4 linked regions of the Diceros bicornis minor genome follow. The protein of the gene in region 4 binds, or shares a complex with, the protein of the main gene of each other region. Links are inferred from orthologs where the notes say so. Each region holds a gene or a part of one and is shown on either strand. Other genes may lie near its edges.

Region 1 (7,723 bases), on a different chromosome or scaffold from region 4:
CTGCGATCACACACTGAGTAACAGTAGAGCTGGGATTTTATCCCAGGCGATCACTACCACTGCCATAGTAATAGACTATTCTTTCCAAAATTGGGCAATAAAGGAAGAAAGGGAAACATATTGAGTTGTTACTACACAACAGGTACATATCTTGAACTCCGAAACACAGGAAGAGCAGTAGCTTGAAAGACAAGTCATCTTTCATTGTTTTTTGTTTTGTATTAGGATTGGAGAAACATGAGAGTTGCACGCAGCATAGAGGAAAGAGGTACTAGAAAGAAAGATTAAAGCAACATTTCTCAACCTCAGGACTACTGACATTTTGGTCCTGAGAATTCTTTGCGCTGAAAGGCTGCCCCGTGTATTGCAGAACATTGAGCAGCATCCCTGTCTTCCACTCACTAGATGCCAGTAGCACCACTCCCTTCCCCCAGTTGTGACAACCAAAAATGTCTCCAGTTCATCACCAAATGTCCCCTGGGGGGACAAAACTGCCCCTGGTTGAGAACCACTGGATTAAAATAGGAAGCAATCATGGAGACAGCAAGTTCTAGAGGGTGGAATAGGACCCAAAGTGCAAACTTTAACATCTGTACAAAGTGGCAACAACTTTGTTAATGATCAAACACAAATTAATTACCTTTATGTCTGGATCTGACAGCTGATTCTTCAACAATTCAAAGTCATTTGTTTCACCCTTTATAAGAAGGGAAAAAAAATGAAGTTTTGCTTGCTTTGGTTTCCTGTTACAGTCAACAGCAAGACTTTTCACTATACCTTAACATCTGATGAAATTACAAAAGGAACACTGGAACTTTCACGTATCAACTGTGGACTATAAAAAATCATAAGTACAAAAATTTTAAAACTCATGTTGGTGGAGCCAGGGGGCTTGGAAAAAAGAAAATGACAACTAAAAGGCCATTCGTATTTAGGTATACCTGTGTACCGACATTTGAATATGACAGTCGATACTTTAAGATACTATCCATTCACGTATATGAATATAAATGCACATTACATACAAAAATAGACAGTCATTCATATTTTCCCTCCATTGCTGAGATTTAGTAGAATCACTTCAAAACTAACACAGAAACAAACCAAAAAAAATCCCTATTAACACAGCTGGTTTATTGTCCCAAAGTAATGTTTACGTAACTTCTTAAGAAATAAGATGCTCTGATCTCATGGCTTTTTATTATAGTACTTGCTCAAGTTTTTAAAAGATACTATGTAAATAAAGCACTTGAAGAGGTGAAACTTCAGTTATTACTCTAATTTTGAGCTGACAGCATCACACGGTTATTGAATATTTGACTTCAAGATTAATATCTAAAATTCATTTTATGGCGTCTACTCCTCTTTAGTATAACAGCTATAATTGTATTCTGACAAAAAAAGAAAACAAAAAAACCTCAATATGTCAATTATATCTCAGTAAAGCTGGGGGGGGAACCTAACATTTCTCACATGATCTCCTCTTACCTTTTTGTACTTCAGCAAGACTTCTGTCACAGTACCACCAAACCGAACGGTTTTTCTTGGAGGAGAATTGAAGAAATCATTCTCTAATGCAAGCATATCTGAAAGCCTGTAGAACCAAGATTATTAAGCTATTAAGTGCATGACAGAGAATAAGAAAAGTTATAACAGCCAACATTTATTGAACTAACATCAGTCAGTGGGACTACTGCTAAGGCCTCCTAACTGGCCTCCCTCCTTCCACTCTAATCCCCCAACAACCGATTCTTCATTCAGTGATCTAATGATCTTTCAAAACCTTAAGACAGACCGTGCTACTCTACTCCCCTGCTTAAACTCCCAAGATTTCCTGCTTCACTCAGAATACAAATCCAAACTCCTTACGGTAGTCTTCAAGGTTCTACATTAATATGGCACCTGCCTACCTCTCTGACCTCATCTCCAACCACTTACTATACTGCAGCCATGGGGGGGGGGGGTTGGTTCCCATTTCACTTGCTGTTTCCACTATCAGAAACACTCACTCCCCAGATCTATACATGGCTGGATTTTTGTCATTCAAGTTGAAGCTCAAATGTCAGAGGCCTTCCCCATCAGAAACCTAAAGTATCCATCTTCTCCCTCCCCGCTCCCGTCACCCTGTTTTATATCTTCACAGCAGTTATCAGTATCTGAAATCATCCTGTTCATTTACTTATTGGCCTATTTACTGTCTTTCCCTCCCTAGACTGCAAGCTCTGTTGAAAGCAGGGACTTTGTCTCTCTTGATAGACTACTGTCCCCAGTGACGAATACAGTAAGTAGGCGCTTAATAACCATTATGACTGATATCATGGTAAGTGTTTTACAAAGTTCGCTTCTTTTAAACAGAGCAGATTAGTGAAAAAACATAGCGTCCTACTAACGACTCTCAAAGTTAACCACAAAGTGTTTTATGGGGGTTAGGGGCTTTAAAAGTTGAGCAAGATAAAGACTGTTAAGTATGTGTGTCGAAACAAACCTCAAACAAAAAAAAAACTTAAGATTCAATTTGTCATCCGTGACAGCTGATGATGCAAACAGAGCAGCCCAGGCAACTCTTTTCAAATCTAGACGAAGAAGCGGGAGGAAACAGAAAAGGAGAATGCAGAAACCAGGCCTGGGACGCTATGAGGGAGCCCCGTGGGAGAAAAGGAGACTCTGGAACAGGGGATAGAATCATCTTCCCAGCCCCTCTCCCACCTTTATTACCCACATAAAGGACACGGGCTCACTCCTGAGAACCTGAGGTGACCCCTACCCTCCGCTCCACCCTACTCCATCAGCTCTGTCCCAGGCCCTTTCAGATCCGCTCCCTTAATCCCCGTCCCGGGCTTTGGTCCCAGACCCGCAGAAGGCAGCGGCCCGGACTCTTACCCAGATCTGGACGCGCTCAGCGCCTGGACGGCAGAGGTCGAAGCGGCAGCATCTCCAGGAAACCGCGTGTGAAGCAACGGGGCCGCCATTGGGCCGGAGAAGCGCACCGACTGCGCCTCGCGCCGGAACTCATGCCCCTTCTAGCCCCGCCTCTGGCCCGGAAGACGCGCGTGCGAGCGGAGGCCTCCAGCCAATCAGGAGCCCCACGTGGGAGAGCAGCGTGATCTCGGCGGGCTAGAGCGCCGCCAAAGCTGCCTCCTCCCCGCCCCACGTAAGGACCCCTCATTGTAGGTGGAGGAGTTTCTCCGCCCGGCGAGGTGCGGTGCTGAGGCCGGTGGAACTACACGGAGAAGAGAGATTCGGAGCCTGCCCTGAGGATCCCAGAGAAAGGGCGGGGACACCGGGGAAGCGCTAAGCGGTGGCTGGGTTTCTCTACTATTCATTTTTTGGAGTCAAAGCATCCCTCAGTCAAACTGAAGAAACGGAGTCCCGGTGATTAATCCAAACCCTCAGAGAGGTGGGGCCGGGATTCGAACACCTATCCTGGGTCTGTACCCACTGCACTGTCCTCACAGACACCCAAGCTGATCTTATCCTCACGGAGACTGAGGCTTGAGGAAGCGACTTACCCAAAAGCCTCAGAGCTGCGGTGATGCTGGGATGAGAAATCAAACAGCAGGGGACAGTTGCCAAGAGGCCTTAGCCCTTGAACTTAAATTTTTAACGGAGGTACAGGGGTGGGGCAGCCCAACAAAGCAGCGAAGGGTCTTCCAGGCATAGGGAAGAGCAGGTGCCATGGCATGGGGGGTGGGAAGGAGACATAGGGAAGGAGGGACTGACTTTCCCCTCAGTTTCTAAGAGGGGAAAATGTTGCAACCTTTGGAAACTGTATAGAACTACCAAAAGTACGTAAAACGTGGGGCCAGCCGGGTGGCGTAGTGTTTAAGTTCTCACCCTCTGCTTTGGCCGCCAGGGTTCGCAGGCTGGGATCTGGGCACGGACCTAGGCACCATTCATCAAGCCATGCTGTGGCAGGCGTCCCACATATAACATAGAGGAAGATGGGCACGGATGTTAGCTCAGGGCCAATCTTCCTCAGCAAAAAGAGGAGGATTGGCAACAGATGTCAGCTCAGGGCTAATCTTCCTCACAAAAAAAAAAAAAGAGAAAGAAAAAAAAAGTACATAAAACCAGCTACAGCAACTTGTGGGCCCCGCCCCTTCTTTCCTCACTGCTTTGGAGTTCTGGTGGAAGGTTGGGCAGAAACCATCAATGTCCTAAGAGCAGAGGAAATTGCGCCCTAGCTCACAAAGATACTTCAAGACAGCTGTTTAAGTTAGAATCTCTTCCCCCTCATCCCCAAAGCAAAGAGAAAAAAAATTAAATCACAATTCATCGGCACTCGCGTACACGGTCAGTAGAAGTTTAACTCTGTACTGTCAAGCAGTTTGACAATTACTTTATTCTTTCGTTTAAAAAAGGTCTGACGTGTACAAAAGAATATATGTTAATATAAGTTATAAAATGTAATAAAATGAACACGTGTGAGTGTACCACCCAATTTATGAAACAGAATATCAACCTGTACTATTGAAGCTTCCTCTGTGTTCTTCCCAGATCCCACCTTGTCCCTGCTTCCTCCTAGAGGTAATCACTATCCTGATTTTTTAAAATAATTTAAACTTTTCTTTATGTAATTGCCATATATATTCCTAAACAATATACTGTTTACTTTTGCTTGTCTTTCTTTCTTTTTTTTTTTTTTAAGATTTTATTTATTTTTTTCTCCCCAAAGCTCCAGTAGATAGTTGTATGTCATAGCTGCACATCCTTTTAGTTGCTGTATGTGGGACTCGGCCTCAGGATGGACGGAGAAGTGGTGCCTCGGTGCGCGCCCGGGATCCGAACCCGGGCCACCAGCATCGGAGCGCGCGCACTTAACCACCAAGCCACGGGGCCGGCCCTTTTGCTTGTCTTTCAGTGATAAAATTATTTCCATGCTGCATTATATTGCTGCTTATTTTCAATCAACATGATGCTTCTAGAATCTATCCCTGTTGTGTGTATTGTGTTTTATTTTCTCTGCCATCTAGCATTCCATTGTATAAATATACCATGGATTTATATATCCATTTTCCTGTTACAAATATTTAGATTATCACCCCTTACTATTATGTACATTGCTGTGAATATTCTTGTATAGTCTCCTGAATAATGTATGCAAGAATTTTTCTAGGGTAGGATTGTTGGCCTGGAGGGTACACAAGACACAAAGAACTTTCCAAAGTGGTTGTGCCAATATACACTCCCAGCAATATCTTCTCCTTAAGCTTGAGCACAGCACCTTCCTTATTTTCCCAAAGGACAGGTAAGACTAGGCTTCCATGTTAAAATTCTTTTTCAATAGGAGCAAGAGCATAATACAAGAAAAATCTTAAAACTAAATAGTATAATTCACTGTTGGCATTCTTTGGTCATGTCCCTTCATTGGGGATCCTCTACTCAGTCACCTGTTCCACGGGCCAGCTCATTTTGCCGTGATAAAAGCCTCCTTTATCCAGTCTTGCCTTCTCCAGAGTCCTGTCTCTTTTTGTCTCCAGCTCTAATCAAAGAAAATAAAGACCGCTCCTCCAAAAACAACAACAACAAAGCAAACAAGCATTGACACGCTGCCTGCAAAGATGCAGCCTTGCCCACAATGTAGTCATCCTTTGACATCACTGTGCACTGCAGTTGTCGGTAATTGTTCTGAGCTTCTTCATTCCAGAATGAATTTTTGCTTTACTCTCGTATACCCAGAAGACCCATTAAACTGTTTTTTCAAAAGAGCAGTCTTCCCCTAGAGATGAGTTTTATAATCATCCTTAGAGTAGTTCTGTTGGTTAAAGCCTCTTGGCTTGAAAGTAGCAGCAATTATCTCAAGCTAGCTTAAGCAGAAAAGGAGAATTTGTTCTAAGAATACAAGGATATCTTAAGATGCCAGAAAAGAATTTCTCATTGGCCGAGTTTGGGTCAGGTGCCCTCCTCTAACCCAATCTAGAGAGGTGAAGTTATATTGTACCAAATGGCTTTCAATGAATCTTTGCTGTAGATGAGAGGGTCACTATTCACGCTTAATAAATGTTTTTCAAATGGGTGAATGATAAGGAAGATCCAGATCAACAATTTCTAAATAGCAAAACCAATAGTAGACATCCCATTTGCTCCTTTCCCCTTTCCAAAAAGAATCAACAATTATTTTGCCTCAATTATCTTTATAAAAACTCCATTCATTAATGCAAGATCTCAACTGTATATCTTTAATATGTATAATCATATATAAAATACATAATCTCTGGCCTCTACCCACTAGATGATAGTAGCATTCCTTTCCTCCCCATTGTGACAAGCAAAAATGTCTCCAGATATTGCCAAATGTCCCCTGGGGAACAATATTGCCAAAATTAAGAACCACTGGTATAAAGTATGGCCTTAGTAAACTTTTAGTCTAATTGAAGACACAAAACATATCTGAAACGATTAGAGAACAAAAAAGTAAAATGACATACAAAATTACATTGTAAACAGTCATAAAATTTCCATTTTTGCCTGTAATATTCTTGGGGGAACATAGGAAAAAAAATCACTTACCGCTTTATTCTGTTGGAAAACAATGGTGGTAATATACAAGAGCCTCATGTGTTCAATGTTTTTCATATTTTTATCAGAAGATGCTACAGAGAAAACTACCTTAATTTTCCCCCCAAATTCCTCAGAATGCAACTGTATCTAACTGAAATTGTGAATCAATAACATGTTTTCTATGGTTTTATTGGCACAATTTCAGAAATCAGCTTTTTCTGTCTTTCTAATTGGTCTTTGGTTGGTAGGGGCCACCTAACCTCAGTTTTATCTTTGCCTACAGGCTTTTGATCTAATAGTAGTTAACATCTACATTCATCTATTCAACAAATATTTATTGAACACCTAGGTACCAGGCCGTGTGCTAGACACTGGGGATACGTGGTCAGCAAATAACAATAATGGTCCTTGGCTTCATGGAGCTTGCCATCTAGTGAGAAAAACAGACATTGATTAAACGTAAATTTACAAATGAATTAAGTCCTTTGAAGGAGATCACACAGTGCTGTGTGGTTCTATGATGGGCAGAATTTACCTCTTAAGGAGCTTAAGGAAGTTTCCTTGAGAAAGTGATAACAGTTGAAATCTAAGAAACACTAAGGGTGAAGGGGTCAGGAGGCTGTGAGGGGAGAGTGCTTTGAAAGCAGGGAGAAAAGTATGTATAAGACCCCATGGCAAGAATAGAAAAGGGGATATCTCTTAGGATTTTAGTTTATCAGTCCAGGGTTGAGTGATAGTCATTTAGAGGAGGGCAGTGGTGGCTGAGATGAAGAGGATCAACTGAGAAAACAGCCAAAATGGGAATGCTGAAATAAATGGATGATTGTCTGGGAATCCTTTTGAAATGCAAATACTCATTCCTTTTCCTTCTTTATATTCAAATTACTCTGTATTAGTCCTTTTGCAAAGCAGGACACAAAGGTACAGAAAATCGAAGCTGAGAGGATATTGAGTTTCAGAAGAAGTAATACTGAACATCAATTCACCATGGTATAATCTGATAATGGTACTGGAAATTTTTCTCCACACTAAATCATTTAACTATAGTATGGTAAATACGTACTGTAGGATACAAAAGCACGTTAAGAAGGAAGAATGGCATGGTAGAAAGAGCATTAGGCCGAGAGCAGTATACCTTGATCTAGCTCACAGTGAAACTAGCAGCTCACCCCTTTCAGCCCAACTCAGAAATAAGAACCAGAGAAATATTCTTTCTCAGACA
Region 2 (6,957 bases), on a different chromosome or scaffold from region 4:
AATGACTTGGGGGTGGTGGTAAATGGAATTATACTGTGGTAAGGCTCCTTTATTTTATGTGAAGTATCACAATTTTAACTCCAAGTAGACTGTGATAATTTAAGAATGCATATCATAATTCCTAGAAACACTGCTAAAACAATAATGCAAAGAGATATAGCTAAAAGCTAACAGAGGAATTAAAACGGAATACCAAAACATTTGATTAATCCCAAAAATGGCAGGAAGTGAAGAATAGAGGAACAAAAAACTAATGGGACAAATTGGAAACAAATAGAAAAATGATAGACTTAAATTCAAAAATATCAATTATTATAATTCATATAAATGAATAAAACACACCAATTAAAAGATAGTGATTGTCAGATTGGATTAAAAATATGTGGCTCCAACTAATTATTGTCAACAAGGGAAGTACATTAAATAAAAAACACAGATAGGTTGAAAGTAGAAAAATGGAAAAAGATATACCCCACAAACAGTAAGCTGAGAACATGGCTGTGACTATATTAATATCAAACAAACTCATTCAAGATAAAGAGTTTTATCAGAGATATAAAGGATATTTATAATGATAAAATGGTTATTTCATCAGGAAGATATAAGAACCACAAATGTTTGTGTGTTCAATAACAAAGCTTCAAAATATGTGAAGGAAAGCTGACAAAACTAAAGAAAGAGACAAATTCACAAACATAGTTTGCCATTTTAACACGCCTACCTCAGTAATTAATAGTAAGTGTTCATACGGTGATATGAAAAATCAGTAACAATGCAGAAGATCTGAACAAAACTAACAACCACCTTAACCTCATTGACATTGGTAAAACATGACACTCAACAGCTGTAGAACACACATTCTTTTCTAGTGTCCACGGAACATTTACCAAAATAGACTATACTTTGGGCAATAAAGTAAGTCTCTGAAATTTTTAAAATCTTGACATCTCACAGAGTTTGTTTTCTGACTGCAGCATAAATAAACTGGTAATGTCTAACAAGATCGACTGATGAAGAAAAAAAGATGGAAGATGCAAATGATCAATTCAGTGTTTCAGTTTTCTATTGCTGTGTAACAAACTACTCCAAAATTTAGTGGCTTAGAACAACCACCATTTTGTTACTCACCATATTGTGAATCAGGAATTTGTACCGGGCTTGGTGAGAATAGTTTACCTCTGCCCCTGTGTTGTCAACTGTACTCACTTATGCGGCTGCATTTAGCCAGTGACTGATTTGGGAGACAAGATCTGAGAAGGACTTCCTCACACATGTGGAATTAAGATGCTGACTGTCCTCTTCATGTGGCATCTCTCTGTGTGGTGTTTCATCCTCCAGGGACTCTTTTTTCCTGCAGCCTCTCTCTCCCCAGTAGGATAGCCTGGACTTCTTTGCAGAGTAGCTCAGGGCACCAAACGGGCAAAAAAAATGAAGTTGTACCTTTGAGGCCATAGTTTTTCCTCAAGTCTGGGGTGGGGTCCTAGTCCACGTATTTGGGGGAGTTTATAGTTGGATAATATTTTTCTCTATATTGTTATGTGACCTGTTTTGTTCTTATGCTTTCATTTTGCCATATTCCTTTTTTATCTTGTTCATATTATTAGCTGTGATATAGTATAGTCTACTTACGATGATGTCTTTCCAATTGTTTGGTTGTCTGAAGCTTGTTCTCTATTAGACTGCAGGGAATCTAATAAAGGGTTTATGGGAATAATTGAAGGGTTCATGGGAATAATATTCTCTAAATAACAGTTTGCAGTTTTTTTAAAAAACGTAATTCAACATCATATTAAGTTACTCTTTAGCACAATGCAATTGTAAGAACATCTTTGTTCCTTAGGATATGTTTTCTTCTAGATCAGAGTCTAGAAAGTCTTCTGCATGCATTGTTTTATGTTTGCATTTTTGTCAGACTATTTCCTTTTTTTAAATCTTATTTATGCTATTCCATGTGATATAGTATAATCATTTTCTTTTTACTCTCTTCTCCCTAACGCACTTTTTACCAGAATTGTACCATGGAAAAGAGAAGAGGTAGGTAGAGCATATAAAGATATTAGTTCTTAACTTTCTCTCTTTAGATTTATCTACCATTGCCCACAGTTGCCTGAGAACGTTAAGGTAAATCAGAAATTTCTTCCCCATTTTTGTGAGAGCATGAATTTCTAGCCACATAAAATCAGTTCTGGATTGGTTTTGGTGAAATCACACCTCATACCTTCCCATAGCAAGGCGAGCAATGTGCCCAGATCAAACCTCTAGACTAGAAGCTTATGGCTGTTATTTTGTGTGTGTGCCCTCCTGGACATTATCATTTAGGTCAGCCTTGCCTGTGGAATTAGAGTACAGGCTTGAGTGAGGCCAAGGACTTATGACACAAGGATCAGCCAAAGGAATTTTTCCTGCAAGCCCATAGCTACTGCATAGTATTTATCAAGACAACATAGAATCAAGTATTTGCAGCATTTTAAGGAGTCGCTGTACAAACTTTTATTAGACCCTTTAATCTCCTCTACAACACTCTGATTCTGCTCAAATGGTTCACTTTCAGGGTAGAGGAAATCCAAAGATTCATGTGGGAGCCTGTGCCGTTATTTGCGCAGCCTTATTTACGAACAAAATTCTTGTAATGACTTTACGCTGTTTCCCTTTAACTTTACCTACTTAGTCCTAGTTCTATTCTCTGATTCTATGAAAAAATAGTCTTACCCTTCTTTCACAGATCAACTCCACAAATTTTGGAGATACATATTATGTTCGCATGTGTCTCTGCTTTCCCAGGATCATCTTTCCTAGACCTCCTCAACTTGCCCTCATTTCACATTTAATCATCTTACTTTCGACTCCTATTTCACAGAAGTTTGGCAATTCGTTATGAAAAGTCACCCCACACGGATCCACGGAACCATCCCCCGAGAAGGAAAAAGGTATGCTTGTCCAAATTTTGGGCAGGCAGTCAGAGTCACTTAAATTCAAAGCTAGCTTTTCTTCTGTGCCAGTCGCTGTGCCAGGGGAGGTCATGTTCCTGCCATCTTGATTCTTTCTCGCTGGCTGAAACTCAGCCATGGGAAATATGAGTTGGCATGTAAGAACAAGATCCAAAGCTGCAGGAAGAAAACATGATCGAGAGTCTTCTCAGCCAGTTGAACCTGTGGTTGCTCAGCAGCCCAGTGATGAACAACCTCAACTAGAGGAACCACCAACTGAGAGTCAGGATATTATACCTGCTCAGGACATTGATGATGAAGGAGCACCTTCAGTTCACGGGCCTGATGTGGAAACTGATCAACAGGAACTGACCCTGTTGAAGACTGTGGATGAGCCTGGAGAAGGTCCTGATGTCGAGGAAGAGATTCTACCACATCTAGAGCCCATTAAAATGCCAGAAGCAGGTAAAGGACAACCACAAATTTTCAAGCATGCTGTCCTTACGGTGGAAATTTGAGAGTTAATCTCTGAATAAAGTTTTACAACTTTCTTCAAATAAAAAAAAATTCAAAGCTAAAACTTTAATAAAAGAGAAAAAACATTTCAAGGAAGCAGTTAGGCTATGTAACGATTTATCTTGTCAGGACCGCCAGCCACGCCTCCGAGGCTCGCGCAGTGCAACCCTGAGCCAAGCAGGAACGGAAAGGTCATCGTACAGTGAATTACTCGGGTAAAGTGACATTCTGCTTTTTTGACCATTCCTCTCTTCCAGGTGCCCTCACTCCCATCTTCATTTGCAGTTAAACTCTCCTATTTTGCGGCTGCGACAGACTAAGTCACAAACCTGGAGCCATCCCAAAGCGAGGGCGACAGTCAACGGTCACTTCCGGGTCACTTCCGGGGTCGAGGCGCGGACAGCCACGCCTCCACCGCGGAAGGAGGAGTTAGGGGCGGGGCTGCGTCTGCGCACCGCAGGGACGCCCGAGGCAGATTTTGCGCATGCTCACGGGAAGCACTCGCTAACTTCGCTTCCGGGGAAGGGTTCCTCACGTTGCTTCTGGAGTCGGGACCTAGAGTTTAATGTTACAGAAGAGCTCCGGCTTTAGGCAGGTAAGTGCATTCACAGTGGAACGGGAAGGGCTGTGCTAGGATTCACCTGTGTTCCTTCTGCTATCTTCTCTTGATGCTCTGAAACCTCGAGGTCCGAGAACTGGGCAGAAGGGGTGGAGAAGCTTTGGTTACCGTGGCAACCGCGTGACATCAATTTAGTCTTTGAGACTTTGGGAAGGGAGAGCTCCTTATGGAACGACGTCTTAAAATACATGTGGGTCGGTTGCAGATTCAGGTGTTATTTCAAGCCCACGCTCCTAACCCTAGCATTTGATTTTAAAAGGTTTACGTGGCTGTAATGTGGAGAAGCAAAATTCGAAGCAGGGTAACCAGAGAGAAAGCTAAAGCAGTAATCTAGACCCAGTTTGAAGGTGTCCTGAACTGGGGTAGTGACGTAGGATTGCGGAGAAGAGGGAAGACTGGAGAAGTGCTAGCAGGTAGTATCAGCAGGACCTCGTAATCCATTGGATATGGGGCCCTGAGTATCTTGAGGATCAAGTCCAGACTCAGCTTGGAAAATGGCTGTCTTTCTAGATTCCTTTCCCGCCGTCAGTTCTGCCTTCTGCCGCCTCCTCCACGCAGACCCCAGACTCTATTCATGCCAGGTAGTTTCGTGTTCTAGTTCCTATAATATTGTTCTCTCCTTTCTTGTGACGGTGGACCAGGTCACATAATTTCACTAATCTCTCAGTTTTTTCGACATGAAAATGGAAGAAAATAATAGTACTTTCCTTAGGATTTCTGTAAGGATTAAATTAGATAATTTATATGCCTGGTGTGTAGAACAGGCCCAATAAATGTTAACTCCTATTATTATTATTGGACTTACTTGTCCTATTATTTTGTTATTATGCGTCATTTTGCGTCATTTTGCTCTAGACTTGAGTATTTTTTTAATTAAAAGGTTAGTATCTATCTTTGTATGTTCTTGAAATATAATAGTAGTTAAGTTTTTTTTTTTTTGAATGGATCATTATTTTTGGCTGTAGCTGACATAATTAAATTGGTTTTTTTCTTCGAGGGAACTACTAGGTACAGTTAATTTTGTTAATCAAATGATATTTATTAGGTAAAAAGATGGTTTTTTTTTCCTGTAGAACTCAGAAGCCTGTGGATTAAGATGTACAGAGAGTAATTGATATTCTCAGTTTGGAATAGGTATGAGTGATTTCAGTGAAGAATTGATAAAGTCTGTAACAGAGGATGACCGGCGGGAAACCTGTGAGCTCTCCGGTACAGGAATGCAACTTCCTTGGCTCCAAAAGCATATAGAAACTGTGGGTAAGTAAAATAACATATAACCGTTTTAACTTGAACGCGCGGAGATGATGAGATTCAGTATGGTTACAAAAATGAATAACTAAGCTGGTTCAGTTTTCAAGATAGGAATATATGAGGTTTTTTTAAGGCTGTAAGCAAAAAAGAAATCATAAAAATATGCTTCTTTTTTTTCAGAATTCTTCTCCTTTGAATTAAGAACAGATAGTCTGTATTATGGTAGATACACATTCTTTTTTCCAGCAGTACTTACTGAGCACTTATGTCCCTGGCATTGGCTAAATATTTGAGATACATGGATGAAGAAGATATGGTCTCTGCCATTGAGGAGTACATACCTAGGAGGTGTTTTCAAGAAGTTTCTGTTGAACTGCATTGAAATAATTCCTAATAGAATTCATGTATAATATGTTTCAAAAAAAGAAATTTTCCCCCATTTTCATCTAATGTAAATAGAAGCAAGTTTTTCTATGGGATCAACTCCCTATCTGAATATATAAAAGAAGCAGTTATCTGTATGTTGGCATTTTGGGTGGTGTAGTCCTAGGAATACATGTGAACCAGCACTTTTCTTATTAGCCTCAAATACATCTTCTTAGTCTAGCCTTCTTTCCCCTTGACTGAGATTCCTTGGCTCCTAGAATTTAGCTCCTTTATCTTCTTCTTTCAACTAAGTATCATCTCATTTTATTATCTCAGTAAATTAATCCTCAGTAAATCTATGTGCTAGGCCATTTTGGAGATGAGGAAACTGAATCTCAGCGAAGTTAAACTCTAAATGTTGGTACCAGGAGTCAAACCCAGGTCTATCTGATCTCAAAGGCTGAACTTTTAGTGACTGCGATATATAAAAAAATGGGATAATATATATAAAGTGCCTAGCACAGAGCCTTGTGTGTAGTGAGTGTTGAAAAAATAATGGTTTCTTTCTTCTCTTCTCATTTTATTTTTGCTATATTAATGCACATGGTTTAAGCCAGGTTTGAATGGATTGTACTTTAGAGAGAATAGTACTTCACTCCTTGTAGGGAAGTAGTAATCTAAAGTTCCTGCTAGTTAAGGCATCCCTGGGCTTGTTTCTGTCACCAGTGTCTACAGAGAGCTTGAGTCAGTCCAGAAGCAAATAGGTTAAAGACCAGAATTTACGTGCTTAGGAGTGTTTTGTAGATTATGGATAGCCTGTTAAACTCCAAATACTTTATGCCTGCAATGAGAAGATAGTTGCAGGTAATACTGGCATTGTAGTGATAATTAACCATAATAGGAAAACACAATTGCCTAACAATTATTTATTTTTTATTTTGATAGATACCTTTTGGCATTTGGAAGGATGTGCCCCCTAGAATAAAAACTTTGAAGACATGAGCGAGTTGGGAATCAAGCTGTATGTTGAGTACCTAGAATAGTGCTTGGTGCATGGTAGTGCTCAAAAAATATTTGAGACTGACCGACGAGTTTCCAGATTCTTTCAAGGGCATTAGAAATTAGGTTTATGACACCGTCTTTATTGTATTTCATTCCATCAAAATGTATTTTCCGGGGGCTGGCCCGGTGTCGTAGCGGTTGAGTTTGCACGCTCCGCCTCGGTGGCCCAGGGTTCACAGGTTTGGATCCTGGGCTCGGACTGACGCAATGCTTATC
Region 3 (7,799 bases), on a different chromosome or scaffold from region 4:
AGCAAAAGCAATAGTGAGTAACACTGCTAGTGCCTTAACATGCATCAAAGCAGAAAAGATCAAACTGCACATATTTAAAGTATACAGTTTGATTGTGTGTGTGTGTGTGTGTGTGCGTGTGTACCCATGAAACCATCACCATAATCAAGGAAATGAACATACCCATCACTCCAATGATTTCATTGCGTGAGTACTTATCATTTTAATATTCTGTGCAACTAAATGAGAAGCAGACATAAAAACTTCCACTGTAGACTGAAGACAACGATTGTCTCAAACAGCTCTTGTGTGATTGAGCTGGAAGCTAAATTAACCACTTTTCTCAAGAAAAAATTTTTTTTGTTTCATATATTTTGTCCAGGTTTATAGTTGTTTAAGGTGAGAGGTAAACCTGGTTCCTGTTACTCCATCTTGGCCAGAAGCAGAAGTCTACACAGTTACTTTTATCTGTCCCAAATTTGCCTTCCTTCAGCCTATACGGTGAAGGTAATATTTGTTCCCTCCTGGATCTGCAGATTTTGAGCAAATCCTTTTCCAGAGAGAAGAGTCCTGGCACGTTTAGTCTGTCCAATAGCAGGTCGTCCACACCCTTGATTATTTCGGTTATACTGCCCTGAAGGTGTGGTAACCAGAACAGGACCTAGCACTCCCAGCGTGACGGTAGCTTCATTTACCAAGGTTACACAGGACAGTATGACAATCTCTGCTTTAAGAAGCAGGTGTGATGGGGTAAAATGAACACTGGAATCAGAAGACTCAGGTTCAAGCCCCGGCTCAACACTTTACACTTGTGTGACTTTGGCAAGCTCACTGAACTCATGAGGCCTGCCTGCCCCATCTATGGATAGGCATAATAGTATATCTAAGGGGCCGGCCCAGCGGCTTGGCGGTTGGGTGCACACGCTCTGCCACTGGCAGCCCGGGTTTGGATCCTGGGCGCGCACCGACACACCGCTTGCCTGGCCATGCTGAGGCGGCGTCCCACGTGCAGCAACTGGAAGGATGTGCAACTATGACATGTGGCTCTCTACTGGGGCTTTGGGGAGAAAAAAAGGGGAAAAGGGAAAAAAAAAGGAGGAGGATTCGAAGTAGATGTTGGCTCAGGGCCAGTCTTCCTCAGCAAGGAGAGGAAAATTAGCATGGATGTGAGCTCAGGGCTGAGCTTCCTCAAAAAAAAAAAAAAATAGTATATCTCACAGGTTGTTAAGAGGAGGAAACAAAATAATGGCCAAGAAAACACTCTGTAATCTGTGAGGTGCTGTACAAATGTAAAACGATAATGAAACGTATTTTCAATACTCCCAATAATCTTCAGTCTTTCTAACATTCCATTTTCCAAACCTTTAAGCTACCACAACACACTAAAAATTCTTAATAAGTATTAACTAATAAAAAGAAATAAATCATCTTCTAAGTATAATTTTAATTATTTCACCTTGGACTATACAGTCTGAATCAGGAAATCATTTAAATATGTGGCCCAACATACTTTCGAAAATTCATCCTAAATCTAACCTACAAATTCCCTAACTCTTGTGTAAGCACTTGGAAGATGGCTTACGTTCTTGGAATTTGGGCATTGCATAAGTGATAAAAACAGATCAATTCTTTGGGAATTATGGCACATATTGGGCTGAAATAGCAATTTTTAAAACATAAGCAAATTCATAAATGAGATCTGTTACTCACTTCTGTAACATTGTGGCAAGAAGTGCAATAGTATTTGCCTTCATCAGTAAGACCCCAGGAGACAGCAGCACACTGAGCGCAGCGCTCTTTGAACTCTTTCTACAGGAGAAAAGGAAAACCACATTCAATACATCGCACCTAAACCCTGCAATGCTACTCATAGGGTTCCCCGCAATTTTACTCTATAAATAAAAAATCATAGGAAATAGAAAATGTATCAGAGACATTATCAACAAACAAGGAGAACAGCAGTTCAGTCTTTGAGCAGTTTGAAACCAAATTAAACTGTTAAAGAAATGTTTCTAAAACATGCAGTGTGTGAGGGAAAAAAAGAAGAAACGGTGGTGGGGGTAAAATGGAAAAAAAGATGAGTAAATAAAACTCCTTGAAAATGCCGTGAGGGAAAAAGACGACAAGATTTACGTATAGAGAAGATTTAAAAAACAGAAATAGCCTACCATTCGGAACTTCCTCCAGGACACTAAAGACACACACTCACCACAAAAGACCCAGATTTTTATCAGGGTTGTTTCGAGTTTCGATTTATTCATTCAGCAGCGTAAGGAGCATCAGCTTCGCAGGTACCAGGCACTTAACAGGGGCTGGGGGAGTAAGCCCTTCTGCACACACACAGCCTGGCACTAAATTACTGACTCCTAGCTCTTTGGTGTTTGACATCATCATTGATCTAATCACCGAACACTCCTTTAACACCCCAGAGTGAGGCATCTTATGCAGCACGGCAAAAATGAATGTCAAATTTACTCCGACAAGTTGGTCAAGTTTTCATCAACCTGTTGTGACAGCCATCATTACCTCGGCGTGCCCCCAGACCCCACTGGGCATCCTTGCGCCAGCCCGCGGCGAGGACTCGCAGGGACCGGCGGGGGCGCTCGGGGGCAGGCCGGCCCCAGCCCCAGCGCTCCCTCGCCCACCCAGCATCCAAGGGAACCCCGGGGTCCCGTCGAGAGAGGATGAGCCGTGTGGGTGGCCACCCCACGGAGCCCTCCTCCTCCGGAAACACACCTGCACGCTCCCCTCACCCACACCCGCCCCCGCCGCACACTCCAGCCTGGGTCCCAAACCCGCGCGCACACGCGCGCGCCAGCGCCCTCCCTTTCCCCGCCCCGCCCCCTCGGGACCGCGGCCCCCACAGCCAGCCGGCGTCCTCCGCCCGCTGCTCCTCGGCCTCACTTCCCCCCGCCCCGCTGTCGGCCCGCCCGGCGCGCTGCCCCCTCACCGCCTCCTCCAGGTCCATAACGGCGCCGCCGCCCGGGCCCGTTACCCGGCACGAGCCCAGCTTCCGGGAGCGCCGGGAGGAGCCCTCCGGACGGAAACGGAGACCCTGACTTTGGATTCCGGGCGCCTGCGGCCCCGGGAAAGCCTCTGCTGGCTCCGGGGGCAAAGCTCCGCAAATTCTGCATCCCCCTCCCAGACTGCATCCCTTTCTAGTCGAGGTTACTAAAACCAGCCAGTGAGAAACTGGGCGGTGCCTAAGGCTGAGCTGATTCAATCACGCCCCTCTGACGGCGTTCATTCCGAGACTCCCTTGCTCTGTTAGGCTGCAGGGAGGCGGCGTGGAGGGCTCGGGCTCTCCCCTTCCCGCGGGCTTCTGATAGCCCCGGGGAGGCGCGCGGTGCTGGAGGGGAGAACACAGGTTGCTGAGTTAAACCTGGGTGTCCTCTCACGGCTCTTCTGCTTCCTTGTGCCTCAGGTGCCTCCTCTGTGACAATCAGATATTACCTGTGAGTCCCTTATCGTTGAGCCTCACGTAGTAAGTGCTCACTCATTTTAGCCTTTATTATTGTTCCTTCATTGGGCACATTCATTCCTTGATTTATTCATTAAACGGGCGCTGTTTTAGGTCCTGGGGATTCAGCAGTGAACAGAGTCAACAAGAGTCCCAGCCTTCATGGAGAGTATATTCTGGTGGGGAGAGACAAAAATAAATAAGGAAAATATATGTATGATAAACGGGCATGAGGGCCAAGGAGAAAAGCAGGAAAGGACAATGGGAGCTAACGGTGGTTTCCATTTTAAATGGGGTGGTCAAGAAAGGTCTCACTGACAAACTGACCTTTGAGGCAAAGGAGCAAGAGCCATGTTGGGAACATCATTCCAGGTGGAGGGAACAGTAAGTTCCAAGGCCCTAGTCCTGAACCTTATGCCATGTTATTTAAGGATCAGCAAGGAGGTCAGTGAGGGGCTGGAACATGAGCTAAAGGGAGAGTAGAAAATGAGGTCGGGGCAAAATATGGTTGTAAGGACTTTACTAACTTGGAGAAATGGGGGAAGACATTGGAGGAGTTACGTCATCTGACTTTTGTTTGACAGATCAGTCTGGCTGTTGTGGGGAGAATAGAATGATAGTGGTCCAAGGTAGAAGTTGGGAGATGAATCAGAAGACTATTACAATAATCTAGACAAGCTATAATGGTAGCTTGAACCAGGTAAAAGCAGTGGAGACAGTGAGAAGTACATGGTTCCTGGAAATACAGATTTTGGAGGTAGAGCCAAAAGGATGTCTTCATGGACAAGAAGTGGGCTGTAAGAGAAAGAAAGGAGTCGAGGATGACTTCAAGATTTTTGCCTGAGCAACTGGAAGGGTGGAGCTATCATTGACCTAATAAGGGCAGACTGTGGGTGGAACAGTTTGGCAGTGGGGTAGAGGGAGAATCAGGAGTTTGATTTTGGACATGTTAAGGTAGAGATGCTTCTAAGACAGCCAGGTAGAATAAGAAGGCATTTGGATATAGGAGTCTAGAGTTCAGAGGCAAATTCTGAACTAGAGATATACATTTGGGAGTTATCTTTGTCTAGATGGTTTTTAAAGTCACTAGATGAGATCACCAAGGGAGTGGCTCTTTATTCACTCACTCCTTATTCACTTGTTAATTAATTTATTTCACAAAGTCCTTAAATACCCACTATATGCCAGGCACTGTGCCAGCAATCAGGAAATGAGAGATAAACAGGGCAGAGTCCCTGCCTTCAAGAGGCACCCAGGCCAGTGGAGCAATTAGTCTCATTATTTTATCATGGCACTAGATAAATGCTCTTCTCTAGTTGTGTCACCCATGTCACTTACCAGGCTTGGCTGTGTGCAACTGGGCCAAGATCTGATTGAACACCAAAGCCTGATTGAAGGTATTAATATATCTAAAGAAAGAATGTGTAAATCAGAAAGAGATGTATTTAGCCCTTCAAGCCTAGCAAGAGGACCTAACCATAGCAAGGACCCCAGCACTACTATTATGGACAAGCAGTTAATATACCCAAAGTTCCACACCTCTTCAGTGACAGACACAGAGCCCAGCACTAACCATTACTCACCCCTGTCAATAACTCAAGGCCAATAAATTTAAAAATTTTGATGAGATGGACAAATTCCTAAAAGAATGCAAGTTATCAAAAGGTATGCAAGAAGAAGTAGAAAGTCTGAACAATCCTATATCTATTTAAGAAATAACTTTGTGTATAAAAACCTTCTCACAGAGAAAACCTCAATCTCAAAGGAGGTAAAACTGGTAAATTCTACCAAACATTTAAGAAAGAAATAATACCTGTCTTACACAGACTCTTCCAAATAATGGAAAAAGAGAGAGCATACACCAATACGTCTTATGAAGCTAGCGTAACTGTGACACCAAAACCTGGTGAGGATATTTCAAGAAAAGTAAAAATTAAAGCCCATTCTCTCTCAGAAACATAGATGCAAAAGTTCCAAACAAAATATTGGCAAATTGAATGCAAGTCCTTTGTTGTATTCAGCAACATGTAAATAGGATAATAAATGAAAACCAAGTTGGGTTTATTCTAGGAATGCAAGGTTGGTTTAACATTTAAAAATATATAAATCAAATGGTAATCCAGATAGTATGGTGCAAGGACAGACCAATAGATCATTGGAACAGAATAGAAAGTCCAGAAACTGACCTGTAAATACACGTAAGATAACTCGATTTACAATCAAGGTGCTACTAAAATTCAGTGGGGAAAGGATAGTTTTTCAATAAATGAATCTAGATCAATTGGAAGTTCATATGAAAAAAATATTGACCCCTACGTCACACCATACACAAAAATTAGTTTGAAATGGATCATAGCCCCACATGTAATAGGTAAAACCTAAAGCTTCTAGGAAAAAAATAGGTAAATATCTTTATGACTTGAAATAGCATAGATTTCCTAAATAGGTCACGAAACACTATCAAAGAAAGAAAAGTTTGTTAAATTAGACTTCATTTAAATTAAGAACTTCAATTCATCAAAAGACATTGTTAAGGCAAACTAAAGACTGAGAGAAGATATTCACAATACATGTATTCAACAAAACACATATCCACAAATAAAGGATTCAATAAATCAATACATTTCAATAAACCAATAAATTTCAATAAATTCAAGAAATCAATAAAAATAACAAACAATCCAATAAAAAATAGGCAAAAGACTTGAACAGCTGTTTCACAAAAGAGGAGAGTTAAAAGATCAATAAATATATGAAAAAGTGCTCAACGTCGTGACTCATCAGAAAGATGCAAATTAAAACCACAGTGAGATGCCACTGCACATCCAACAGAGCAGCTAAAGTTAAAAAGATGGACAATATCAAGGTTTGGCAAGAATATGGATAAACTGGATCTCTTCTGCATTGCTGAGGGTATAAATTGGTAGAAGTATTTTGGAAAACTATTTGGAAGTAATGCTAATTATGACCCAACAATTCTACTCCTAGATATATATACCCAACAGAAATTAGTACATATGTTCACCAGAAGATATGCACAGTTACTTTTATAAAGCTTTCTTATAATAGCCAAAAATTACAACCAAATGTTCATCAATAGGAGAATGGATAAGCAAATTGTGATATAGTCATATAGTGGAATACTATACAGTAATGAGAAAGAATGAATAACTACTACATACAGCAACTTGGATGAATCTCACAAATACCATATGTGCAAAAGAAGCCTGTGGTGGATTTAAAATGGACTTAAATTCTTTGTCACTCTTCCCATTGAAAGATGAGGTCCATTTCCCCTGCTCCTTGAATCTGCAATGGTCTTGTGACCAGCTTTGAGCAATGGAATGCTGCTTCAACGATATTTTATAACTTCCAAGCAATGTCTTTGCAGCTTTTGCTCTTCTTCAAATGTGTCTTCCTGAAAGCCAGCTGCCATGGCAAGAAGTCCAACTACCTTAAGACAAACATACTGTGAGGAAGCCCAAGCTAGCCATGCATACTGGAGAAGCTCCATAAAGAACTGAAGTGTCAGACATGTGAATGAAACGTTCTTGGACCTCCCAGGCTAGTGAATGACCTCAGCTGATGCTAGGTGGAACAGAAAACCACCCACCCAAGTCCTGCCCACATTCCCTCCTCTAGATAACAACATATCAGAAAAAAATTTTGAGCTCACATCCCCATTATGCAGGTATGTATTTTTGTATAAATTATATACATGCAGGACTGTTCCAGTGATGTATATGATAGGACACTCATAATGTAAATATTAAGATGATAAGATAAATAAAATTTAAATAATTTATTATTTGTTAATATAAATAACTTTCCTTTCAATGAAAATATTAGTAACAATTATGCAATTAAAGAGTTCACTATTTTTAAAAATCTTGGCTTAACACTGTGATACAGTGATTTGTAGTTCTTGTCCTGAATTCAATTTACTATAATATTTCTTTTTAATGGCGCTCATAACAGAAAAAGATACAGAGAACCAAGTGTTTTCATACCAATGGAAACATTTGCAAACATCTGTCTCAAAATGCTCTCTCCATAGCATAAACTTCTTCCAAAAAAGCAGTTACTTTTTCATGCGTTAGACAAATGAGCACCTACACTTCCCAGGCACTTTTTAAGCACAGGGAATAAAGCAATGAACAAAAACAGTGTTTTTTCCCTACCTTGTGAAGCTTACATGCTAGCTGGGAGAGACATATGATAAATACATAAATCAACAATTGTAAAATATGTCAGATGGCCAAAAAACTGCCAGGAAGAAAAAGAAGGCAGAAGATGAAGATAGAGAGTAGATGAGTGGAAGGCTGGGGGTGGGAGTTGCTATTTTAGACAGAGGGGTCTG
Region 4 (7,682 bases):
AGCGCCCGCCCTCCACCCTCCTTCCCCCACCCTAGCCAAAAAAAAAAAAAAAAAAAAAAAAACTCCTCCTCCTCCTCCTCCTCTGTGAGCCCGCCCCGGGGAGGCCCCAGGCTGGAAGAAGGGGGAGGAGGAAGGGCGGGTAAAGGGCGCGCGCGGCCGCGGAAGCGGGCACGCGCCGCAGTCTCCTCCTCCCGCCTCCCCCCCGGCCGATTCCCCCCGCCTCCGCAACCCGGCGGGGACCCGGACGCAGCGCAGCCGCCGCCGGCCCCGGAGCGCAGCGGCCGCGCCGCCCCCGGGGACCGGATCCGGACTCCCGCCGCCCCCCCTCTCGGGCTCCCGACGCCGTCCCCGCCCGCCCGGGCGGGCAAGCAGCCGGAGAGAAGCGGCCTAGCCTGGCCCCCGCCCCCGAGCCACCCACCCCGGCCAGAAGCGTCGCCACCGCCCAGCCACCCCGACGCGCACGGAGGAGCCCGGCGCAGAAGCGCGACCACGGCGGGAACCGCCGCCTCCTCCCCTGAGCTTGCGGCCCAGCCCTGCCGGCGCCCCCGCCCCGGCCTCCGGGGAGCAGAGCCAAGGAGAGGGTGGGAGGACGACGGCCGGGAGGCGGGGGAGCAGCGCTCACCGGCCCCGCCGCCCCCTCCGGCGGCCGGCGAGAACTGCGTCTGGCGGCTCGGAGAAGCGCGGGCTCCTCCGCCTGCGGCCGGGGTTCGGCTCGGGCCTCGCTTCCTGCCCTCCCCTCCCCCGGCTCTCGGCGTCCTCTCCAGTGCCCTGGTTCTCTCTCGCCCAGTCCTCTGCCCGGAGGTCACCCCGGGTCCCCTCCTGGCGGCTACCGCACCCGCGGTTCGCTCCCCGCCACCCGACCCCGGCGCGCGTTCTCAGCCACCTCGGTTACCCGGCGCAGCGCGGCCTCCGGCCTTCCCGCTCCGGCGGCTCCCTCCCCGGCTCTGAGCGGCGGCGCCCTCCCCCGCTCGGCCGGGCACAGCCGCAGCTCCCTCCCGCGGCGGCAGCGGCTCCTCCTCCGGGCGCGGCGGCGGCGCTGGGGCGGCGGCTGCTGCTGCTGTGGCGGCGGCGGCTGTGGCTGCTGCCTGCTGCTCCTCGCGGCGAAAAGCACAAAGCACAGCGCCCTCCGCCTGCAGGCAGCCCGCCCGCCGCCCGCCCGCCGGCCCCGGCCTCAGCTCGCACACCCCCCGCCGCCGCCGCAGCCTCCGCCGCCGGAGCGGGGAGGAGGAGGGAGAAGGGAGGAGGAGGAGCGGGAGGGGGGGCGGGAGAAGCGGGGCAGCGAGCGCGTCCTTCCCCGTAGAGCGCACACCGACCCCCGGGGAGCGAGCGCCAGCCCGCCCGCCTCGCCGGCTCCGCTCCCTCCCACAGCCTGCCCGGGCGGGCTCCGCGGGGGGCAGCTGGGAGGAGGGGCGGGAGCTGGGGGGACCCGGGCGGCCGAGGCGGAGGGAAGGAAGGAGGGGAGGGGGGTGGTGGTGGTGGTGGTGGTGGTGGTGGTGGCGGTGGCGGCGGCGGCGGCTGCTGCTGCTGCTGCCGGGAAGGGGGGGCCGGGGCAGGGAGACACGCAGCCGCCCGGATGGCGGCGGGGCTCGGAGCCGAGGCGGGCGGGCGGGCGCCGAGAGCGACCTCGCCAGACCCGCGGGGGAACTAGCAGGCTCGGCCGGCGCGGGAGGGAGAGCGCGAGGCGCGGCCGCAGAGAGGGTGCCCGAAGGGGCCCCCCGGTGGCCGGGGAGACTCAGGGGGTGTCTGTAGCCCTGCTCCGGAGCTCTCCCCCAAGTCCTCCCAGTTCAGAATCGGGTTTCCATGCCAGATCTCTCCCGCCTCCCGGAGCGGGCGGTCCGCGCCCACACTCTTCCCCGGAGCGTGGCCACCGGCTTGGGGCTCAGGCACGCCGATCGCGGCGCCAAGCTTCGGCGCCTACCTCGCGGTCTCCTCGCTGCCAAACAGCACACACACGAAACTTAAAAAAAAAAACACCACCTCTACAAAATGCCTTCCCTGCAAATTAAAAAAAAAGTCCCCTTCGCTTTTTACACCCCGGAAACGGCAAGGGGGCGACGGGCTCCGGCAGAGGAGCTCTCTGGGAGCCGGTTCAATCCAGCCCGGCATGGCTCCCCAGGCCTGCCAGGGCGCATGGAGATCGGCGCTGCCGCTACTCGCAGCAACCCCTCTCCCCCGAAATCCGCGGCGCCGGGGCTCACTTACCGAGCGTGTGAATGGGAGCGCGGGCCAGGGGCACCTAGGGGTGCTGCGGGCCGAAGAGCCGAGCCGCAGCTCCGCCGCAGCCGACGCCGGGGCAGCGAGTCGCCAGACAAAGCCCGAGATGGCGAAGCGGAGCGACGGCTAATGGCGAGCCCCACGCGCCGCGCTCCGCCCGCCCCGCTCCGCCCGCCCGCCTCGGCGCAGCGCAGCGCCGCTCCGAGCGCTCGCCCGTCAGAGCCGCCTCGGCGCCGCCGCCTCCCGGGCCACCCCGGCCTCGCCTGGCCCCTCCGCCTCCTCCGGGCGGCTCAGCCTCACCCCTTCCCTCCCACCGCGCTGGGGGCTGCACGAAAATAAAAAAAGAAAAATGCTTTTCTTTCTTTTTTTTTTTTTTTTTTGGCAGGGCGGGCGTGTTGAGACTTTTGGGTCGTTTTGCCCCCAGCTCGCACTCACCTGCGGAGCCGCCGGGAGGGCTGGGGGTGGGGGCGCGCGGGGCTGGAGCCGGCGAGCGCGGGTTGAAAGCTAGCCAAGCTCTGCAGCGCCCGACCCGGGCGTATACGCCGCCGCCAGTCCCCGCAGAGAAATCTTCCTCCTACCCCCGCCTCCATCGCTCTGCGTTTCTCTTCCAATCAGCCGGTCGCTTGGCGGCTCCTCCATTCTCCGGCCAAGCCCGCTGCCTAAAGCGAGCTCCACTCCTCCATCTGCTCGCCTGGCTCTTTGCTCCCCTGCCGGGGCCGGCGAGGCGACGTGGGGCCGGAGAGGGATTTGCGAGGGAACCTGCCTGCTTCCCGCTCCCATTGCTCCCTCCCCGCTGCCTCCTGCCTCCTGCTTCTCTCCTGCGTCTTCCCAACTCTCCCTTGTCGCCACTGGTGTGTGTCTGAGTGTGTGCGCGGTTTTTTTTTTTTTTATTGCTCTTTGCTTTTGCAACCCTGAAGCCAAAGCGGGGGGGGGGGACTTTGGGGAGTGTTACAAAAAAAAGCAAGAAAGAAGCTCTTAGATTTGCAACACATTGAAAAACCGGGGGAGCACCCCGCCTCGTCCGATCTCGGGGCCCCGCGAGGGCCTTCCGGGTTTTAGAGCAAGCCTCTCCTTCTCAGCCGCTCACCTCCGCCGGGTTTGGAATCCGAGGGGTCCGAGCAAAAAGTTCTCCCCCTGGCCGGTAGCAAGGGGTGTCAGGGTGGGAGTTGGGGGAATTTCTCAAGAAGCACCAGCCATCCCTCCCACCCCGGCTTCGTTAGCTGGGCCGGCCGGGGTGGGGGCGGAGAGCCAAATCCTGGTGGGTTTGCGGGAAGGGGCTTCCGGGGCGAAGTCGAAGCCGGAGACCGCGCTTCGCTCATCTCCCGCTCGGTCTCTGCCTCCTGTCCCCTGCCAGTTCCCCCTTTAATTCTTTTTTTTTTTTTCCCCTCTCCTTTAATCTAATTTCTTCCAACTCCACCTTTGTTGTTACCGGCGTCACGCCCGGACCAGCCAATCCCTGCCACGCAATCAGCGTGTCAAAAAGGCTCCACCAGCCCTGGGAAAGCAGGCCGCGGGCGCTGCCCCCCACCCCCGGCGGCGGCGGAGAGCCGCGCGCGGAGCCTGGCACTCGGGCCTCGCCGCCGCAGCCGCAGCGGGGCAGCTTCGGCGTAGGCCTCCGGCACTCCACGACCCTGCGAGCCGGCGATCGAAAGGCCTGGGCGGGGACCTCCATCTACCCTCCCACTACCGCCGGCTGTGGTTGTCTGTTTCTGCCTCCCCTCCATAGAGGAAGGGTTATCAGGACGCAGCGAGCCAGAAGCCAGTCTGAAGAACGCCTGCTTCCAACAGGCGAGCCTAGTTCGGGCCATCGCTCCTCGGGCAGCGCCATTGCTCCTGGCTCCCAGGCGGCCAGTCTCCCACACTAACACTGCTCCCGCCCACAACTCGGCCAGCTGGGTCACCAGCCCCTTTGGACTCTCCCCTGGCACACAACCTTCATCCTCACACAACGGCCTCGCTGCTGCTGTAATTCCTCTTGTCTCCTGGGAGAAATGAGATTCCTTTCCCAGGATTTCCACAGCCTGCATCTGCCACGTTTCACAAATAGGGAAGAAAAGCCTGTCAGGATCTGGTGTGTCCGGATTTTTCTGTGGGCAGGGCATGTAGGAGAAGCTGATTTACCTTGACGCTAATGAAGCTTCAGGGCCCTTCATTTTCAGGACCTGTCCGAGGCCCTGTACTTCATTTTGATTCATCACTTGACATTATTTTTGTTAAAGAGTGTCATGTCCAGTCCGCGACCTCATGTCCCGTCCCCGACCGTCCGTGCCCCCACCCCCCGCACGGTTGTACAAGTTTCGGCCCCACAAACCCAGCCCTGCCCTTGGAACATACACAAGGCATTTTGTGTAGGATCAAGCTATCTTGCTCTGTACTTAGAGCAGAGCAGGGAGCGATTTTCTTTCTTTCTTTTTTTTTTTTTTGAGGAAGATTGGCCCCTGAGCTAACATCTGCCAATCCTCCTCTTTCTTTTTTGCTGAGGAAGGCTGGCCCTGGGCTAATATCTGCCCATCTTCCTCCACTTTATATGGGACGCCACCACAGCATGGCTTGCCAAGCGGAGCTTCGGTGGGCACCCAGGATCCTAACCGGTGAATGCCGGGCCGCCGCAGTGGAGCACGCCCACTTAACCGCTTGTGCCTCCGGGCCGGCCCCCGGGGCGACTTTCTTGTATTGACTAGGAAACAGCAGAGGGTTTGGAGTCAGAAATCCCAGCTTCCCAGCCTATCAGCTTCCCCGCCTTCTTAATAGTGTGTGAGTGAGATCAAGTTTCTTAACCTCACCTAATCCTAGTTTCCTTGTCTATAAAATTAGAACAGCAATCCTATGTTCTCTGCTTTCCTCAGGAGTCTGAAGGTCAAGTGAGATGATGTATGTAAAATGTAAAATACTCCGCAATGTCACTTGCCACAATTACAGTGGGAGAAACTTAGACCCCAAGAAAGTTCCAAATCTTCCACACACAGATCTGGAGTCCGGGTGTCCTGGCTCCTGGCCCTGAGCTTCTTGGCTGGGCCAAGACGCCTTTCGGTAAAATGCTTTGGAATAAAAAGGGATGAACATGAATCATAAGAAAGATTGTTATTGATTTTTTTTCATTCTTCGGGCAGCAAAAATCATGGCTGGCACTCTTCCCGCTTGGAAACCTATTGACTTGTTTTACATGTATTGTGTTTCTGGTGAGGTCAGGAGTCTAGGACTCCGGCTGTGGGCCAGAGCATGAGGGAATCGGCCCTTGGTCCTTTTTCTTTGCCCCCCTCCCAATTCATCCGCCTTTCCCTTCCAGTTTTCTGCCCTGTGCCTTGAAGCAGAACCTCAGCATTCCACAACCCCAGCCCAGGCTGGTGACAGGGTATAATCCTAGCTACAAACTCTCCACTTGGCTCCGGCCCTTCCCTGGGCTGCCAGTACTCCAGCACCAACTCCTATAAAACCCCTAGTGTGCCTGGAATGTATTAACCAAAGTGTAGTACTTGAATTCCTGGTGTTCATGGAGTAATTTTAGATGGTATACAGATCAACATATTATTTTCAAAGTTATGTATTTTAATGTGTATTGGAAATGTTCTTTTAAAATTTTTACTTAAGATAGTGACATAAAATATGTAATAATATACACGCGGAACCAGCCCTGATGGCTTAGTAGTTAAAGTTTGATGGCTCCACTGCTGCCACCCGGATTCAGTTCCCGTGCGGAACCACACCACTCGTCTGTCAGTAGCCATGCTGTGGCAGCAGCTCACGTAGAAGAATCAGAGGAGCTTACAACTATACACAACTATGTACTGGGGCTTTGAGGGAGGGAAAAAAAGGAGGAAGATTGGCAACAGATGTTAGCTTAGGGCAAATCTTCCCCTGCAAAAAAAAAAAAAAGTACACCAAAAAAAAAAAAATAAATGTATACCTGAAATTTACACAATATTATAAGCCAATGTGACTTTAATAAAATAATTTTAAAAAGATAAGAGCCTAATAAAAATGGTGGCACAGTTTTATGTATGTTAGATGGTTACCTACACAAATCCTACAATAAATATGCACTATATCTAGGAAAATAAAAAAAGATAGTGACATAAAGACTTCTTCCTCTTTTTTTTTTTTGGATCTACTGTCCCTTATTTATTTTTTCTTTTTAACTGAGGTATAATTTACGGATAATGAAGTGCACATATCTTAAGTGTACGGCTTAATGAATGTTTATAAATGTATACATATTATACATGTTACATATATATACCATGTAACCACCACCCAGATGGAGATATTGAATATTTCTAGCATCTAGCTCACTCAAAGTCAATATTCCCCTCCAAATGTCACCACTATTCTGAGTTCTATTGCCATAGATAAATTTAGCCTGTTTTTGGAGTTCATGTACATGGAATTACACAGTATGTACTCTTTTACATCTGCCCTCTTTTACTCAACATTATGCCTGAGATTAATTTATAATGTTGCATGTAGTAGTGGTTCATTTCTTTTCATTGCTATGTAGTATTCCATTGTACAAATATACCACAATTTATCCTCTCTACTTCTCCTTCTCCTTCTTTTTTTTTTTTGTGAGGAAGATTAGCCCTGAGCTAACATCCGTTGCCAATCCTCCTCTTTTTGCTGAGGAAGATTGGCCCTGGGCTAACAACCATGCCCATCTTCCTCTAGTTTATAGGGGACGCTGCCACAGCATGGCTTGATGAGTGGTGCGTGTGTCCACGCCTGGATCAAACCTGTGAACCCCTGGCCACAGAAGCGGAGTGTGCAAACTTAATCGCTTTGCTACCGGGCCGGCCCCTATCCTTTCTACTTCTAATGGGCATTTGGGTTGTTTCCAGTTTTTGACTGTTATGAATAAAGCTGCTTCAAACATTCTTGTGCATATCTTTTGGTGGATATATGCATTCATTCCTCCTGGGTATATTTCCAGGAGTGGAATTCCTGTATCATAGAATATAAATATATTGGACATTAATAGATTTTTCCAAATGGTGTTGTCAGTGTTTTTGGATTTTGGCCATTCTAATAGGTGTGTAATGTTATCTCATTGTTTTAATTTTCAATTTCTTAATGGCATATCATGTTGAATATCTTTCCATATGTTTAGTTGCCATCTGTATATCTTTTGGTGAGATGTCTGTTCAGGTCTTTTGCCTATTTTTCAATCAGGTTGTTGGTTTTCTTATTGTTGAGTTTTAAGTGTTCTTTGTATATTCTCGATAGCGGTCGGTTATCAGATGTGTCTTTTGCAAATATTTTCTCTCAGTCTGTGGCTTGTCTTCTCATTCTCTTGACACTGTATTACACGGAGCAGAAGTTTTTTATTTTAATAAAATCCAGTTTAGGGGCCAGCCCGGTGGCGTAGTGGTTAAGTTCACACACTCTGCTTCAGCAGCCTGGGGTTTGCAGGTTTGGATCCCGGGCACTGACCCACACACTGCTCATCAAGCCATGCTGTGGGGCATCCTACATAC

The links.
Region 1: UBTF (region 4) and RRN3 share a complex: the UniProt entries of both Homo sapiens proteins name them as parts of the pol I pre-initiation complex. The link is inferred for Diceros bicornis minor from reciprocal best matches to the Homo sapiens genes UBTF and RRN3.
Region 2: UBTF (region 4) and TAF1A share a complex: the UniProt entries of both Homo sapiens proteins name them as parts of the pol I pre-initiation complex. The link is inferred for Diceros bicornis minor from reciprocal best matches to the Homo sapiens genes UBTF and TAF1A.
Region 3: UBTF (region 4) and TAF1B share a complex: the UniProt entries of both Homo sapiens proteins name them as parts of the pol I pre-initiation complex. The link is inferred for Diceros bicornis minor from reciprocal best matches to the Homo sapiens genes UBTF and TAF1B.

The regions. Positions count from the first base shown.
Region 1 is NC_080765.1:35,622,159-35,629,881, forward strand, and holds the start of RRN3 (RNA polymerase I-specific transcription initiation factor RRN3), read right to left. Parts: upstream 3,002-7,723; 5' UTR 2,970-3,001; coding exon 2,881-2,969; intron 1,595-2,880; coding exon 1,489-1,594; intron 698-1,488; coding exon 641-697; intron 1-640. UniProt on the Homo sapiens protein: Required for efficient transcription initiation by RNA polymerase I (Pol I). Required for the formation of the competent pre-initiation complex (PIC).
Region 2 is NC_080777.1:10,820,526-10,827,482, forward strand, and holds the start of TAF1A (TATA box-binding protein-associated factor RNA polymerase I subunit A), read left to right. Parts: upstream 1-3,949; 5' UTR 3,950-4,008; coding exon 4,009-4,038; intron 4,039-4,572; exon of another isoform or gene 4,573-4,643; intron 4,644-5,135; exon of another isoform or gene 5,136-5,186; coding exon 5,187-5,319; intron 5,320-6,957. Other genes in the region: putative G antigen family E member 3, read left to right, coding at 3,065-3,445. UniProt on the Homo sapiens protein: Component of the transcription factor SL1/TIF-IB complex, which is involved in the assembly of the PIC (pre-initiation complex) during RNA polymerase I-dependent transcription.
Region 3 is NC_080751.1:70,279,232-70,287,030, forward strand, and holds the start of TAF1B (TATA box-binding protein-associated factor RNA polymerase I subunit B), read right to left. Parts: upstream 3,013-7,799; 5' UTR 2,948-3,012; coding exon 2,930-2,947; intron 1,789-2,929; coding exon 1,690-1,788; intron 1-1,689. UniProt on the Homo sapiens protein: Component of RNA polymerase I core factor complex that acts as a GTF2B/TFIIB-like factor and plays a key role in multiple steps during transcription initiation such as pre-initiation complex (PIC) assembly and postpolymerase recruitment events in polymerase I (Pol I) transcription.
Region 4 is NC_080757.1:42,828,054-42,835,735, forward strand, and holds the start of UBTF (nucleolar transcription factor 1), read right to left. Parts: upstream 3,010-7,682; 5' UTR 2,650-3,009; intron 2,221-2,649; exon of another isoform or gene 2,203-2,220; intron 1,079-2,202; exon of another isoform or gene 884-1,078; intron 1-883. UniProt on the Homo sapiens protein: Recognizes the ribosomal RNA gene promoter and activates transcription mediated by RNA polymerase I (Pol I) through cooperative interactions with the transcription factor SL1/TIF-IB complex.